2 linked regions of the Bombyx mori genome follow. Each later gene encodes a partner of the first gene's protein in a complex. Links are inferred from orthologs where the notes say so. Each region holds a gene or a part of one and is shown in the gene's direction. Other genes may lie near its edges. The genes, in order: zinc transporter zipt-7.2 and protein-L-histidine N-pros-methyltransferase.

Region 1 (3,370 bases):
ATAAATTGAATTTATCCATGAAAAACAGTCCTCAAACGTCAACAACAAGATCTGGCACTACAATTGATGGAGTTTTTACTCGGTCACTAAATTTCGTGGAATGTAAACCATATATTTCATATTTCAGTTACCATAAGCCATTAATTACAAAAATATATAATGACAATGACAATGATAGTAATAATTCTATTACAATTAATGAAATGCTGTAATAATCTTAGTAGCAAAAAGGTAAAGTGAAATAATTGTATTATTTGTATTCATGTCTATGATAATAAAATCCTTTTGTTTAAACTTTATCTAATTTAACTTTATTTAACCAATTTCTAGAAAGTTGCATGTAGATCATTTTTCGAAAAATAAGGCCATAAACAAGTTTCACTTCTTACGTGTGTACACTAGTACACGCACACATTTTTTCCGAAGAGATTTTGTTGGTAGCCTTTTTCCTGAAATATCTAAACAGAATGTCTAAATATGTTTTGATGACATATTTTAAAGAGGTATTTATGATTAGTGTCATGATCAATAGATTCCGATCGAAAAATGGTGTCCGATTTTTCGGATGAGGGCTCCATAATGAATTTAAATATATATATAGATAATAGTTTTGGGGCATCGACTTTCTTGAGATCCTATAAAATATGTTTTAATTATTATTTTTGTATGTTTCAAGCATGATAAAATAAGAAATTTTATATAAGCAATCATATTAAATCGATATCAAAGTCAATAAATAATGTACAACCCAAAACAGACGGCCGAACTGACGTGACAATGACATTTGGCGCGCTAAGCATGGCGGATTTTCGGCCTCATTAGACGGAGACGGAGACATTTACGTATATTCATGTTTCATTTTATGTACGCACTGAAATACTGTTATATTGTTTTCCTGCGAGTTAAAGTGCTGAGTAAGAACGAGATAGATATATGTTTATGTATGTGCCTTCAAAATGGGTGCTATTTATATAAGCAATTGTACGTATAGAACAATATGTCGTGTCCCTACTATATAGGTCTATGCGTTAGACTCATCTAGTGTGACATGAAAAGAGCGCGACGTTAAAACGCGGCGCTAAGTACGCGTTCTATTTGACGAATGCTTTAATGTATTACGACGAATTTTTGGCGGGAACGCGAGCAGTGAAGTTGTGTGGTTTGTTTTATTTTGTCTATTTAATTTTAGTGTTTCTTCAGGTTTAAATGTGTATTAATGGTGATTTATTAACTGTTTAATATCTGTGAAAGTGCACAAATGTGGGAAAATGAAACAAAGCCGCTGGACGTAACTTCTCGGGATCCTCCAAAAAGTCCACTGTAAAAATCTCAGTAAATGACCACCATTTTACTGAGATTCTATTTCATCCCCATCTCATCTCATCTCATTTCATTTTATTTCATCCCAGTTGATTAATGTCTCAAATTAATCATCTTCATTTCATTTCACTCCATATTATCATTTTTCATAAAATTAAGAATATAAATTAAAATAAGACATGACTTAAAGGTCTTAGTTACCACATCATAATCCATTAAAAAAAAGCTATCATATCTAAGCTATGACGCCTATGACATGTATGCTGTCAATGCTGTATGTGTGGTTTGGAAGTGATTGGTTTTAAATTTGTGAAATTGTGAAAATGTTTGTAAGGAGTGGTATAGCATATTTTGCTTTAATTGTGACATTTACTATAGTTTATGCACATTCACATTCGCATAGTGACGAATCTCCAGCTTTTAAGTACTCCAAACATGCCAACGAACAGAAAGAACATGATAAAATTTATGAACCAGATTACAACTTATACGTCAGTGCTTTGTGTTCTACATTGTTTATAAGTATAGTGCCATTCTTTATACTTTTCTTTATACCCATAGATGGTACAATTGAAAAGCAGCCCTTACTTAAAATACTCCTAGCTTTCGCGTCTGGTGGACTCCTCGGCGATGCGTTCCTGCATTTAATACCTCATGCACTCATGCCTCACAACGACAAACAAGGGCATAGTCACAGTCATTCCCATTCTCACGGAACCCAAGAACATGGTCCACATGACATAACAGTCGGTCTTGGAGTACTTGGTGGAATTATTACGTTTTTAGTTGTGGAAAAAACTGTCAGACTTTTTAGTGGGGGTCATGGACATTCTCATGGAGACAAAAAGAAGACTGATGATAAATTGAAAAAGAAAACAAAGGATAATAAAAATAAACAAGAAGACATCAAGATTGCTGGATATTTAAATTTAGCTGCTGATTTTACACATAACTTTACTGATGGACTTGCAATTGGAGCTTCTTTTATTGCAGGCCAAAGTATCGGATATATAACCACAGTTACCATTCTTCTACATGAGATTCCACATGAAATTGGTGACTTTGCCATTTTGGTCCAATCTGGCTGTTCAAGAAAGAAAGCTATGCTATTACAATTGCTTACTGCTTTTGGAGCAATTTCAGGGACCTTTATTTCAATTTACTTAAGAGGTTCAGGGGAAGGCCTTGTCTCATCTCTGATATTACCTTTCACAGCAGGAGGATTTATTTATATTGCTACAGTATCAGTAATCCCTGAGTTATTGGAAGGCTCGAACAACAAATTTTCCCAATCCATTAAAGAAATAATTGCACTCTTAGCTGGAGTGTACATGATGGTACTTATAGCACAATATGAATAAATTTATAGAATTTTTAGATAAAATGTAATTTTTTATTCCAATAAAATAACATCACAAAAAGTTTTCTTTTTTTTTTGTAAAACTCCTGTATCGGTGGAATGAATATCTCTAAAGACATTTGAAAATAAAACTAATAATAAAAAGGTAATTATCATAATATTACACTAAATAAATCTCACATCTGAAAACTTTCACAAAACTTATTTCTTCATAATTTGGTTTAATCAATGTAGCAATGCTGTCATAATTTGTCAGAAACTATTAATTGGAACAAGCATTCTCACTTATAACTTCTCCATTGCTGTATCTATGAATACCTAAAATGTTAATATTTCAAGTGCTATTAAGTAAATTTAAAACTATTGTTTACTGTCTTTTAGAACAATAACTAATAAACTGTAAAGTTTTGCTTTATTACTTATTAGAAACTGCGGGAAACGTTTTATTTACAGTTTTGTTTTCTTAATTTAGTGTTTCTTCTGCCTTATGCATGTAATGGTCTATTATTCTTCCAAAAAGTATTGAACTCTCAGTAAACTCAGGGTATTTTACTATGATTTTCCATTTTTCTCACCTAACATCTACAGCATTATCTTAAGTACCTCATTTAATTTTATTTCGTGTTTGGGCTACATTCCCTCGGTTTATCCAATACACAAATGAAATAAAATGCTAATTAAATGTCAATT
Region 2 (3,839 bases), on another chromosome or scaffold:
AACACACGTATAAATAGCAATCCGATCTAACAATTAATTTGATCCTATCAGGATGTCAGATCGAATTTATAAGATTACTACTATGTATTGTCATCGATCTTTAATCCGTATGCAAATTATATAGTTAATCAGACGTCTCGAAGTCGGGAAATTTACATTCCCAGATTCCATTAAATACAAAAATTACACCACACTAAGATAATTAAAGCTTGAAAATTGTATGTTTGTGTGTCATGAGTTGAAGTTTGTATTGAACTTGACACATTAAGGAAAGTGTCCGTTTTTAGTCCCATAAATCTACGATAAGTGACGCTCGAATCATTCAGACCAATGAGCTTTTCATACATTCTTCAGAATCCATAATCGGGACTTGCTAGGCAAGAATAAATGATATAAACGTATTAAACATTACATTATATGAGGCTAGATATTGCTAGAGCGGTAATTAATACATCTGCTGTGTAATTATATAGTCATCTTTTTTTTTAATTGCTTAGATGTGTGGACGAGCTCACAGCCCACCTGGTTGTTAAGCGGTAACTGGAGCTCATAGACATCTACAACGTAAATGCGCCACCCATCTTGAGATACAAGTTCTAAGGTCTCAGTATAGTTACAACGGCTGCCCCACCCTTCAAACCGAAACGTATTACTGCTTCACCGCAGAAATAGGCAGGGTGGTGGTACCTACCCGCGCGGATTCACAAGAGGTCCTATCACCTGTTCCATTAAGAATAAAATCAATTTTCAGCGACCTCAGACCATAAGCCTGAGGAGCGTCTTCCGATCTACGACTGCTGCGAGTTCGAAGACCAGGTGACGGCCTTCGTGTCGTTCATGGAGAAGGAAGCCGGCTACGAGCTGGTCTCCTGGACGCGGACGCCGTACCTCTGCGAGGGAGACTTCGCTCAGGCCTACTACTGGCTCGACGACTCCGTATACGTGTTCAAGCCTAAAGCCATCCCATCCGAATGAAAGCTAAGCCATTACTTATAATTAACTCTTAACGAATTTTATCTGCATTTATTTAAACTAATAGTTTAGGCGTTTCGTCAATTTCAAATATATACTTATGTAACTAAGATATCTTATTTGTAATCGCAAAAAAATCGCGTTATTTATAATCGTTATTAGATTATAATTAAACACGTTGTTCAGTGATGAATGAAGTCTATAAATTCTTTTTTTATCTGTAATATACTATGATATAATGGCCACTCGCTTATTAGAATTTTTGACAGGTTTATATCACAGACATCTCGTTACCATTTTGGACATACATTGTCCACCTTCCATTGGGCAAATATTTTCAAAGACACAAAATTGATAAATTTGTATTTGCTTTGAACACGATATAACTGCCGTGATTTATTTGCAAGAGTATTAAGACTGTTGATGTATCAACAAATCGAATTACACTTGACACGAATTACACTTGCGTGCATAACTCGTCATTCCTGACATACAATATTAAAATAACAATACATTCCGTTCATTCTTTTATTTTCAGCCAGTAAAACATTTTAAAAATAATGTTAAGAATAACAAAGTAATAATGCCTTAAATAGAAGTGAATTGTATATACTTTACCGGTGCCTAATGAATCAGGTATAACTCGTTATATTAAATTAAACATTTTTGATATTAAATATTTAATACAGATTAAGTGACTTTTTTAATGTACCTACTCATTGTTGAGATTACAAAAACAAAATGAACTTTGGTTCCAATTTTCATATATTCCGTATGGTTATTATATGGTATTATACTGGTTAATTATATAAAATATGTATGTGTATATTAGTTATTTACTAACTTAAGGAAACGCTACCAAAGTGTATAATATGATTCACTCAGGGTGTAAGAGAAGCGCTCTCGTAAACGGTCATTGGTTTTAGTGATAACAGTTATTATTACATTGAATTGTATTGTTTTGGAACGAAGTTCCTTATCGCGCGTTGTGAAAGGGGGCTAGACGGAAAAAATTCTTACGAAAAGTTGTCACGACACTTTTTAGATCCATCATTCTGACCAATCAACGTGTAGGCGCTTATCGCGTGACATTGCTCGTATCCGATTAGCCCGCGTAATGAGTACAGTTTCTCGAGATAGCGTTTCAACAATAGTAATTTAGTTCATAGTATTGTTTTTTTCTTCTTCATAATGCCGTAATTTATTATTATAACTTAAAAAAAATTTACAATTCCTTCACTAATTAATCGAAAGGAACTTCGTTCCATCCGGGTGTCCCTTGACACCTCTGAAGTTTTTTTTATTCTTGACGTGAATAAATAATGATTGAAAAACCATTTATGTACATTTATATTTATCATCGTGACGTAATTTCAGTTATGAATCAGCTGAGACGCAGGGTCAATGGTCTCGCACGCGCGCGAGGAAAGTTGAGCGAGTTAGTGAATGTTTTATATACGTTTGAGATTTTATTTATTGTTTTTTTTTTCTATCTAAGCTGAAGTCCTTGAGAGGCTATTTCAGCGTAGCCCTATCAAGTAGGTGAGCTCGCGGGCCTCAAACCTGACGAAGCTGCTAATACTGACCCTAGCAAGAGCCGTGCTTCGCATAATCTACCACCGGATCGAAAACGCGACCCACTGAGAAGATCCGGCGAGAAACTCGGTGGGTTTTGTCTGTGGATTAATTTACTCTTCGAGCCCTTGGTCGCAAGCGACGGATCCGGCGAGAACGATGACCGGATTTATTACTCGCTAAAGCGCGTAAACATCGTCATGTCCTTAACGTTGCCTTGAGATTCAGTCTAAGCCTTTGTTATATTGTATAACAACAGTAATAGGCAGGGTGGTGGGAATCACACGTAAGGACCATACAAGCTACGACGAGTACATTGCCGATTAATGAAATATGGAATGCGATATGTGTTAAAAGGTTTTTTTTTACTGGTGGTAGGACCTCTTGTATGTCCGCGCGGGTAGGTACCACCACCCTGCCTATTTCTGCCGTGAAGCAGTAATGCGTTTCGGTTTAAAAGGTGGGGCAGCCGTTGTAACTATACTGAGACCTTAGAACTTATATCTCAAGGTGGGTGGCGCATTTACGTTGTAGATGTCTATGGGCTCCAGCTACCACTTAACAACCAGGTAGGCTGTGAGCTCGGCTACCCATCTAAGCAATAAAAAATAAAAGTGAAGCATGCGTCACTTAGCAAATCAATAAGATTTTCCATATGCAATAACTATTAGTAGAATGAGAGAGCGATTTTTTCAATAATAATAAAATAGCTAAAAATAACGTAAGTCAGCTTCACAAAGAATACCGTTTTTCGTTTCTAGTATTATTACCGATTCTGCATCGTGAACTCTTCTGTTACACCCTGTATGTTGATCGAGTGATTATATTCTTTTTTTTTTCTAACAAAGAAATTTATGTCAAATCAATATTTAAACCATTAATTAAGTATAATAAATGATTTGAGTATTAGAAAGAAATCAATCAAATTAATTGTGTATAAGGTACAGCGAGCTTATGACCGCGGTTTCATGCGTAATTTAGCGATATATATTATATTTTTCTTTTTTTATGAAAATTTGTTGTTTACGTCATCGTTGGCTGTCCAAGCGTGTTTTTCTTTAAATCGTGTATTTAGCCGAATGACAATGTAAAATACAGATCACAATGTCACTCTTTATATGGTACAACGCGGTTATAAAGAGGAAATGCGGGTGCTGAGAAAGTTATCTAAAATATATTTGTCTCCTCATCCGAATATAGATGAATAACAGAACAGAACATATTGAAAATAGGCAAATGAAAAGTCTAAGTTTCGTATTCCCGTTTCCTGGACCAAAATTAGACCGTTTTTT

The links.
Region 2: the proteins of zinc transporter zipt-7.2 (region 1) and protein-L-histidine N-pros-methyltransferase are in contact, whole or in part, in a crystal structure (PDB 8GZE), measured with the Homo sapiens proteins. The link is inferred for Bombyx mori from reciprocal best matches to the Homo sapiens genes SLC39A7 and METTL9. Residues at the interface, in NP_001070984.1 of Homo sapiens: Gly65, His66, Thr67, His68, Glu69; in NP_057109.3 of Homo sapiens: Arg114, Thr115, Asn118, Arg123, Gly124, Met126, Met179, Asn210, Asp213, Arg214, Val241, His245, Tyr247, Glu249, Trp255, Tyr295, Leu296, Cys297, Glu298, Asp300, Tyr306, Val307, Leu308.

What each region holds. Positions count from the first base shown.
Region 1 is NC_085110.1:11,413,197-11,416,566, forward strand, and holds zinc transporter zipt-7.2, read left to right. Parts: upstream 1-1,539; 5' UTR 1,540-1,643; coding exon 1,644-2,681; 3' UTR 2,682-2,741; downstream 2,742-3,370. UniProt on the Homo sapiens protein: Transports Zn(2+) from the endoplasmic reticulum (ER)/Golgi apparatus to the cytosol, playing an essential role in the regulation of cytosolic zinc levels.
Region 2 is NC_085117.1:14,642,093-14,645,931, forward strand, and holds part of protein-L-histidine N-pros-methyltransferase, read left to right. Parts: intron 1-751; coding exon 752-975; 3' UTR 976-3,839. UniProt on the Homo sapiens protein: Protein-histidine N-methyltransferase that specifically catalyzes 1-methylhistidine (pros-methylhistidine) methylation of target proteins.